Rattus norvegicus: one gene and its partner. The protein of the gene in region 1 interacts with the protein of each later gene in a biochemical or structural test. Links are inferred from orthologs where the notes say so. Each region holds a gene or a part of one and is shown in the gene's direction. Other genes may lie near its edges.

Region 1 (4,689 bases):
CCACTGTTGTAGGCCCTGTGAGAACTCCAGCCCTGTTACCTCCACCCTGCTGGATGGTTCTTTCCTTGGCATTTGTAGTTTCCTCGCTCCAGAATGGGTTTCCTTTGTTGCATATCGGAGGCTCCTTCACATCTCCCGAAGATCCTCATCTCCTGACTCAGTCCCACATGCAGCCTGAAACTGGCTAGGGAGCTGAAACAGCAGAGACTTCCCAAAGGTCACTGACTTCTGGGCAGTGTCCAAGGCCCCAACATGCTTCCTGTGCTTTGTCTGGTGTTTGGTTGATTGGTTGGTTGGTTTGCTGGTGCCCAGGACCCCTAAAATACTCTGGCTTCTTTGTCCAGTTCTAGGGGTTTATTTTGAGCAAGAACTGCACCAAAATACCTAAATACTCGGCTTTGGCTCGATAAAATATCCTTGCTACTAAAGCCACTCTGTTGCCTAGAGAGAATAGTGTCCCATTTCAGTTGTCCCAACAGTGGAAGTTCTTTTTCATACCCCATACATGCAGCAGTGTGTCCTAGAGTGAGACCTCATACATTCCAGCCTACTCCACCCCACCAGCCACCCATGAGCACTCACCTCCAGCCTCTGTAAAGGGCAGAGACAAGCAGTGTGCTCACCTGTGCCTCTCCTGTTTCCAGCTGTGCTTCATGCCCTACCACAGAATCTTAGCCAAAAGCACCACCTCTTACCAAAGTCTGGAAATACTTAGTTTGAGGTCTGGTGTAAACACGGGAGCCCATTGGTCATGGCTCTTTGTTCAACAGCTTGATTACTGGATATCACTTGGTTCTATCTGTCCTTCATGGCAGGGAGGTCTCTCAGTTCCCAGTCTCTGTATCTTCCTCTGGGCAGGGTTATTTTGAAGGTGCAGATCCCTTTGCTTCTGAAGACCTGAGTCTGAACCATTCAGGACATACTCCTGTGACTTACGTACTTGAATTTTGTCCTTTCGTCACCCTAGTACACATCAGAGGAAGACTCAGAGTGGAGCTCCACCTGAGAGCAAACTCCTCAGAGTGGCCTAGCTTCCAGGGAGAGGTCAGCTCTGGGCTGGAGTGTACAACAGAGCCGGAAGGTTCACCCCTGTCAGGCATATTAGTGAAGGAGGGAGCAGTGTGGGTCTGTGGAAAACCAAGTAACAGGATTGGCTAAAATGACATGGGAAAGCCCAGGGTGTGGTGAACAGGTCAGTATTGCTAGGACCACTTTGAAGAAGTCACGTACTAGTAGAGCATAAATTCAATACAAAAGCAGAGACTATAGCCTCTCTGACTTGTCTGTCCCACCAGAACCTGCCCTGGTCTAGCAGCCTCCTGCTCAGCTCTCACAGGTGTGTGTTTAGCTCTTACCTCAACCTTGAGTGCTAAGGTTGGGTTTGGAAGATGGTGACAGGTGCATGTCTCCTGAGAAGTTTCTGAGTTTCCTGTTGCCTGGATTTGAGTCCTGATTTCATTTTGTATTCTTACTTATTTCTCTCACTAGGCATCTAGAGGGGCCCAGTATCCCAGCCTCACTCTGAGTAGGGGGTAGTGCGGGGAGGCAGCAAGTTTGTATGGAAATAGTACCCCCAGGCCATCCTTAACACAGACAGTGCCACCAATCCTGGACTGCCATTGTGCATTACCGTCTTCTCATTTGAGTCCAGGGTCACCTTGGGTCCCACCTGTCATACCATATGTCTCTGTAGTGGCTGACTTCAGTTGTAACTAAGTACATGAGGAAGATTCATGTTAGTAGGTATGACAGCGATAGTGTGTCACAGCTAGGAAAAGTAGTTAGGACTGCTGACTCCAACTCAGGAAGCAGCACTCAGAAAACGCTCATATTAGGGGACTGGTGGTGCACACCCTTAATCCCAGTACTGGGGAGGCAGAGGCAGAAGGATCTCTGAGTTTGAGGCTAGCCTGGTCTATATAGCAAGTTCCAGGACAGTCAGAGCTACATAGTAAGACTCCGTCTCAAGAAGGAGAGAGAGAAAACTGTTGCACAAATGCTTTCTTGTGAAGGACGGCATACCAGCCACACAAACTGGACTTCTACAGAAAAGCACACAAGCATGGACGTGTATATAAAATCACTTTTTTTTCTGTACTTGTAAACATGGGCTGACTTATGCTGAGCTTCTGAGGCAGAGCTGACAGATAAGACGGGAAGGTACTTCGAGGAAAAGAGCTAAGGAAAGTCTCTCTGTTCCCTCTCCTCGTTAGAGATCATTTCTTTTTACACTTCTCACGTGAATAAGAGTCTGACATGTATATGAGATTTGAGAGAGGTTTAATATGAGTGATGAGATTATATTCTTTCAGTGGGTAGAAATAATTTTTTTCCTGTAGGCTGTTTAAAGTTGCCTTTTTGCTGGCTGGTGGGTGGTGCTCATCTTTAATGCCTGCACTTAGGAGGCAGAGACAGGCAGAGCTTTGAGTCTGAGGCCAGCCTGGTCTACAGAGTGAGTTCCAGGACAGCCAACGCTGAGAAACTCTGTCTCAAAAAAACAAACAAAAGTTGCCTTTTCTTCATCAAGACAAAATAAATGCATTCTACATCAACAATCAGTAAAAACACAGGGAGCGGAGCAGCCTGGCCTGTCACTCAGGAATCACAGGTCTAACACTCACACAGCTGGGCGCTCCCTCCTGCCACTGCCCAGGTTCACATGGCCATTTTTAGGATATATGTGTGCCCCATTTCAACCTAGAGAGTCAAAAAATGGCCACATGACCCAAACTAACCTCACAGCCCTGGTCTGTGCAGCCTGACAGGGCAACTCCTGAACCAGGGCAAAGCTTCACACCTGAGGTGCCAGCCCCCAAGGAACAGTGGGTGCAGGGTATGTCAGTCTGAGCCCCTCACTGCTGGCACTGCTGGCCATTGCCATCAGTGTGGGTGGCACAAGTGCCCTGACCACCCGAGAGGGCTGTACTGCAGGTAAACGCAGGGCTTTCCAAGAGCTCTGACGCGCGCTGAACAACCACCCTCTCCTTTGTTGTAGGCTGTTGAGAATCTGTGCTCTCACAAAGTCTCCCCCACGCTCTACAAGCAGCTGCGGCAGGTCTGTGAAGACCATGTCCAGGCCCAGATCCTCCCCTTCAGAGAATATCCTTTTCTTGCTTTGCTTTTTGTGCCTCATTTATGACACAAAGCTTTTAAAACTAGGATAAAGAACTGATGAATATCCTCAGTGTAAAATAATGGGTTTTAACTCTTTTTTTATAGAACAAGGGGCCTTTTGTTTCATAACTCATTATAATGGTTTTTTTAAAAGTGAAATTTGTCACATTTAAATAGTTGATATGAGTACTGCATCTAATTGGAACATTCAGGGGAGTTTTTAAAAATGTCTTAAAGTTTAAGTTCTGTTCTTTAATTAAAAATCACCTTATTTTTTATGATATGTGACAAATCCCCACAAATATGGCTGTCATACCCAGCTTATTTTCTTGGGGTGTGCCTGTCAGGAATCAGGATACAGCCCCTTGCTTTCTGTCTCGGTGTCACAGGCCCAATCGGTGTGACAGGGAGGAGTCTCATCTAACGGGGCGTGGGGGGGGAGCTGTAGGAACAAGGTCCTGCTTACCATCTGGCCATAGTGGATCTGGCGTAACCCTGAGGACTGCCCCTCCGGTCCTTGCTGCATCCACTTTCTCCTGGTGGATCGTGCACTCTGGGCAGGCAGGAGAACCTGCCTGTCCGGCCTGAGACTTCCTCCAGGGACAGGACAGACAGAGGCGGGCTGGCTGTGTCTCCCATTAGGAAGGGAACAGTCGGCCTGTACTGCACACAGGGCTGCGCAGAGGCCATCTTAGGTTTGCTGCCGTGTCACCTGTCACTCATGCCCACGAGTACGTCTGTCCGACCTGGCCTCGGGCCAGTTTTAAGCGCACAAACTCTGTTGTGTGTAAAATCCATGTTGACTTCTTTGGCTCCATGCATTCATGTCTAAAATAAATTCCAGAACCTTTGTATTCAAGATTTTCTCCTGATTCAGGAAGTCTTTTTCCCCCTCCTGGGGACACTTGACCCTGCCAGCTGTGCAGACCCTGTTCATTAAACACAGCAAGCAAGTGTGGCTGGACACCGAGCCTCTGGGAGGTCTACTACACAGCTTCAGTCAAGATGCCTCTTGTGTTCTCCGTCAGCATTTTGAACCAACGACTGCAAGATTAGACAAGAACGTGGTGACCAGATCCCTGGAGAACTTGCTCACATGCATCTCCTCTCAGGACAGAGCTGTGAGGCGCATGGAGCTTCTGCCCCATCGGAGCCCTGGAGGAGACTGACCCTAGGCTGAGAGTGGTCAGCAGATGCCACCTAGGACATGGCACCCAGCACTGTTTTGCTCTAACCCCACTTTGCTGCAAACGGCTTTTTTACTTACTTTAATTATCCTCCTGCCAGTTAATCCTAGTCTGGGGGTTGACCTAAGTGTTCACACACTCAGCAAACCTTCATCTCCTACCCAGCGTCTTGCTCCCTGGGTTATAGAAAAGGGGCTGCACCTGATCGCCGTCCTCCAAGGGATCACAACCTAAGGATAAAGCCAGGTTTACAAAGATGTCTCAGAGAACTCAGATACATGCAGCTCCAACAGCAGAACAGAAATCAGGGAGAGGCCCCACAGTGTCGGGGTAAGGGAGACTCAGGGATATGACTGGACTATTCCTTGAAGAGCAATGGGGTGCAACC
Region 2 (5,458 bases), on another chromosome or scaffold:
CCTTAGGATTCATTTTTATTTTTTATATTTATTTAGTTTATCGAGGCAGGGTTTCTTTGTGTGGCCTTGGCTGTCACTGAACTTTCTGTGTAGAAGAGTATGCTCCACTGAGGCCTAGCTATCTATTTAATTTGTTTTGTTTTTCCAGACAGGGTTTCTTGGCAGCCTTGGCTATTTATTTACTTATTAGGTTTTCCAGACAGTGTTTCTCTGTAGCCTTGGCTGTTCTGGAACTTGCTCTATAGACCAGGCCTGCCTCTGTTTTCTAAGTGCTGGGATGAAAGGCATATTCCACCACTGGGCAGCTTTTTTAAATTGTTTACTTCTGTGTATACATGTGTCTTTATGTGCTTATGTGTACATATGAGTGCATCAGTCTGCAGAGTCCAGAAAAGGGTGTCTGGTCTTCTGGAGCTGGAGTTACATACAAGGTAGTTGTGAGCCACCTGCCTGGGTGCAGGGAACAGAATTCAGGTCCTCTGGAAAAGCAGCAAGCTCATCTAACTATTATTATTATTATTATTTTTTAAAGATCTATTTATTTATTTTGTATATGAGTACACTGTGACTGCCTTCAGATACACCAGAAGAGGGCATCGGATCCCATTACAGATGGTTGTGAGCCATCATGTGGTTTCTGGGATTTGAACTCAGGACCTCTGGAAGATCAGTCGGTGCTCTTAACCGCTGAGCCATCTCTCCAGCCCTCCTTTAACCATTATTAAACCATCTCTCTGGCCACTAAGCTACAATTCTTTTTTTTTTTTTTTTTTTGGTTCTTTTTTTCGGAGCTGGGGACCGAACCCAGGGCCTTGCGCTTCCTAGGCAAGCGGTCTACCACTGAGCTAAATCCCCAACCCCTAAGCTACAATTCTTAATTCAAGCCCATCTTAGGACAGCCCCACGACTGGCTCAGCTTTTTACTCTCCTCTAGAGCATCGCTTTAATTTAAAATTAAACTACATAAAGACATATGAATTTTAAATATTTATGGAGTATCATCTTCATAACGAATGCATACATTGCGTTTCACCCACCTACATATATTGTATTCTTTAAACTGGGTTAAACATTTCTCCGATATCGCTTACGGTGAAAACATTCAAAATCTTTCTTTTAAAAAAATATAGGGGCTGGGGATTTAGCTCAGTGGTAGAGCGCTTACCTAGGAAGCGCAAGGCCCTGGGTTCGGTCCCCAGCTCCGAAAAAAAGAACCAAAAAAAAAAATAATATATATATATATATATATATATATATATATATATATATAGAGAGAGAGAGAGAGAGAGAGAGAGAGAGAGAGAGAGAGCGCGCAAATGACCCTTATCTGCAGTCACCTCGCTGTGCGACAGTACACCAGATTGTCTCACTCTTAGTTGACCCCTACAGGATGTCAGTGTAGTCCAGGCTAACTCCTCATACCCCAGCCTCCTCAGTGCTGGAAATTACATAGAGCGTGCCACCATAGATACTGCTCTTCCCTGAAGTATCTATGAGGTAAAATACATCTGTAAAGTGAGAGGAACGAATCGAATGCTAAAGCGGTGATTGGGTAATCAGATTGGGTATTATTAACAGGCAACACTTGGATCTTTGCTCTTGTTAAGACATAAACTGCCTACTTTTTTCCTTTTTATTCTTTTTGTTGTTGTTGTTCTTCCTCTTCGAGACAATGTTTGTTGTTGTTGTTGTTGTTGTTGTTGTTGTTGTTCGAGACCGGGTTTCTCAGCGTAGTTCTCCTGACTGCTGGAACTCGTTCTGTACACCAAGCAAGCCTCTAATGCCGCCTGGCTCGGCCTCCAGCGTGCAAGGATTAAAGGCGTGCGTAACCTCCGCCGGGTTTAAACAATCCGGTTTCTTCTGGTCCAGCACACAAGCGAAGTCCCAGTCCTTAGGGAGTTAAAAGAAAAAAAAACCCTCCCAGCACGCTCCACACGTTACTCCGGAAGAGGTGGAGCAGCCGGGGGCGGACCATGCCCAAGGGGCGGGGCAGTCTGGGGCAGTTCCGGGGGCGGGACAGCCCCCTACTGTGGCAATCCCGAGGGGGCGGGGTAGTTCCAAGGGGCGGGACAGCCCTGAGGGGACAGGGCGGGGCTAAAAGTAAAGCAGCCCTAGGAGAGTTTGGCGCGAAGTTGTCTGTGCCAAGCTACCTGCGACGACGGCGCTCCTTCGTACGTAGTCCCTTCCTGTTTTTCTCCTTCGAGGCTTTTCAGGTCTTGCTTCGTTATTTTGCCATAGAGCTTGGTATCTCTTCACCGAGTACGTCATGGCTCCCAAGAAATGCCCAGAAACCCAGAAGTCCCCCGACGTTGCGGTGCTCCTCAAGAGCAAAAGCCGCAGAAGTCCTCAGGAGCTGGAGCCCGAAGCCAAGAAGCTGTTTGTGCAGGGTCCCGGTACGGCCTGTGCGCTGCCTTAGCTTTCGGGTGGTTCAGGGTGCTCACGCCAGAGGCTGAAGGTGGGGTGGTCGGTGCTTGTGCCTAGGATTCTGAAGCAGTTCCTGGTCCCCGTCACCTCAGGCTGTGATTTTATTTGAGAGATCTAGGGCTCGAACCCAAGCCTCTAGTACGCTCAGCAAGTGGTCTGCAACTGAGCTACACTCATAGGACTGCGCTTTATTTGCCAGTTCATTGACACCAGAGAGTTTAAGTTTAACTGTCACCCCCCACCTCTACCCCAGGTGGCAGTAAGAATCAGATGAGCTCCATCACCATAAAAGCCACACTCATCACTTTTCCTTGCAGAAGTTTTACACATCTGTTTCAAAGTTATCCTCACTTTCATAGACCTTTGATTGCTGAATTTCCATAGTGGGTGTTGTTAGCTGTATGGCCTTGGGTTTCAGCTCGGAGAGTGAAGTCTCCCCCCAACCCCTTTTCTTCAGGAAGCTCATTCTCGTTTACCAGGGCTTGAACCTGGGGCTATAAGGAATGTGGTAAAGTGATATGGTTTTAGCCATGTTCTCATGGGAAGGAAAGTTGTCAAGAGAAAGGACCTTATAAGATTGGGTCCACCAGAAGGGTTTGGTAATTCAGGGTTACTTTGTTTTCATATACTCTGATTTACCTCCTTTCCCTGAAGCAACCTAATCAATTTAGAGCTTTTCTAAACCCTGGTTAATTCTTCTGGTTTCCACTCAAGTAATGGTTGCTCATCACGTTATTTATTTAGTATTTCTGTGTAGACCAGGCTGGCCTCCAGTTCAAGATGTTTATGCTCCAGCCCTCAGAGTGCTAGGATTACAGTTATGCACCAATATGTTTGGATAGCTCTTATTTTAATATAAGATTAAACAAACCTCTTTCCCTAAGCAATTACTCCCATGCTGTCCTAGAAATGTGATTTTAAGTTTGTCCCTCAACTCCTACTAATTTGTCATCCCACACAAGAAAAGTCTTGAGTGTACACTATTCTGTAGCTCCTTGGCAAAGCTCTAAGGAACCCTGAAAGGCCATATTTAGTTTCACTGCAGAATTACTGTTTGGAGGAGTGTTTTGGGAAAGTGTTGTTATTACTTTCTTGGGTTGAGTGATATTCAACAGCAGAGAAAGGCTTTTAGGAGATGATGAGACAAAGGATTTTCAGAGGGGAAACCTTTCCTGAGACTGGGGAGAGGAAAACGTCTATTCTTCTTGGGCAGTTTCTAGTAGGAAATGTGAGTCGTGCTGCCTTCTGGCAGAGTTGTCCAGCTTGCAGATCCCTCCGAGGAGCAGCAGCATTGTCCGGGATCTTTACCAGCAGAAGTTGGGCAAAGCCACCTGGCCGTCACTACAGCAGGTGAGATGTTTCCTGTCTGAGGCGCTCAAAGGTGTACATAGCTTTTCAACTGCTGCCCGCTCTAACCAGACGATGGATTGGTTCAGAATCATCAGGTCACCTCAGATATGATGACTGACCTACTGGACACTCAGTCAAAGAGAAAATGTTTTACTCTGTAGACATCCTAGCTACAACAAGCATTCTCCCTCCTGCTTGCCAGGATTAGTTCACATACATTGCAGATAGTTGATACACAAGGCCAACAAAGACTTACTGCCTACGCACAAAGGAGCCAGAGAGTGACAGTTTACCCAGGACTTGAGTTTAGTTTTTATTAATGTTCTGAGACACAATCTCTGTGTAGCCTTAGCTGGCCTGGATCTCTGTATGTTGACCTGGCTGGCTTCAGTCTCACAGAAATTCACCTACCTCTACCTGCTGAGTAGTGGAGTGAAAGGCATGCACCACCATGCCCAGCTTAGGACATGAGTTTTAATTCAGGGAATCCAGATTAACTCTATTTTCTCTGTATTAGGGTCTCCAGAAGTCCTTTTTGCACTCTCTAGCTTCTTACCGGGTATTCCAAAAAGCTGCCCCCTTTGACAGGAGGACAACGTCCTTGGCATGGCACCCGACTCATCCCAGTACTTTGGCTGTGGGCTCCAAAGGGGGAGATATTATGATCTGGAACTTTGGCATAAAGGACAAACCCATCTTCCTTAAAGGGGTAAGTGGTTACGTGAGCCAGATGGTTATGCTTTAAGGCTGATTGTTGGAGGAATGGAAGGAATGTTGATAGCCAGATGATTGGGGAAAAAAGTAACTGGTTTTAAAACTTATAAATGGCAACACAATTCAAATATGTTTTTAATGATGGTCTTTAAAATATCAGAAGGTATAGACTGGTCTATAAAGTCTAGCATTCCTCTTCCTCATCTTCTCCCTCCTCCTTTTCGTCATCTTCTTTTTGAGATAGAATTTCATTGGTTGGCTTGGAATGCATTGTAGACCAGGCTTGCTTCAAATTCATAGACCTGCCTGCCTTGGCCATGCCTTTCTGTATCCCTTCCTACAAAACCTCATTTTGTCCATCTTTCCTGTGGTAGTTAATTTTTCATTACTGTGGCAGTCCCAGAGAGAAGGGATCTAAAGGAAGAAAAACAGCTGGAGAGTTTTGGCCCATGCTTGTTTGCTCTGTGGGCATCATGGTAGAAGAGGATGGTAGAGCAGTGCGGCTTATCTCAGGAGTCAGAAAGCAGGGAGAATGAATTGCAAGGGGTCTGGAGTAAGTGATTGCCTTGTCCCCTAGTGACCTGTTTCCTCTAACCAGACCCCATGCCCTATTAGCTCATTCATTTGGAAACTCACCAATGAATTAAAGCGGTGATGAAGTTAGCCCCCTCATGATGCAGTTAACCTTTCAATAGTTCCATCATCTGGAGACCAGACCTTTAATATATGAGCCTTGGGTTGGGGAGGGGGACCGTTCATTCACAAACCATAGTATTTCCCATGCTTCAGGTGTACCAGCGACTTCTGTTCCTGAAGCTGGGACTTGTTTTTTTCTCTTTGGCTAGAGTTCTCTTTTCTATAATTTTCTCATGGCTGCCTCCCACTTACAGTTCGGGTTGCTGTGTAATCTGCCTTTTTAAAAATTTTTAAATTATTTTTATTTTTGCATATGAATGTTTTTCCTGCATGT

What was found. The genes of interacting proteins can lie anywhere in the genome.
Region 2: the proteins of Cul4a (region 1) and Ddb2 form a complex in vitro, tested with the Homo sapiens proteins (2 studies listed by BioGRID, with this or other methods). The link is inferred for Rattus norvegicus from reciprocal best matches to the Homo sapiens genes CUL4A and DDB2.

Annotation. Positions count from the first base shown.
Region 1 is NC_086034.1:83,114,156-83,118,844, reverse strand, and holds part of Cul4a (cullin-4A), read left to right. Parts: intron 1-2,995; coding exon 2,996-3,099; coding exon of another isoform or gene 3,100-3,100; intron 3,101-4,689. UniProt on the Homo sapiens protein: Core component of multiple cullin-RING-based E3 ubiquitin-protein ligase complexes which mediate the ubiquitination of target proteins. As a scaffold protein may contribute to catalysis through positioning of the substrate and the ubiquitin-conjugating enzyme.
Region 2 is NC_086021.1:97,660,082-97,665,539, reverse strand, and holds the start of Ddb2 (DNA damage-binding protein 2), read left to right. Parts: upstream 1-2,096; 5' UTR 2,097-2,238; coding exon of another isoform or gene 2,239-2,266; coding exon 2,267-2,393; intron 2,394-3,637; coding exon 3,638-3,774; intron 3,775-4,291; coding exon 4,292-4,483; intron 4,484-5,458.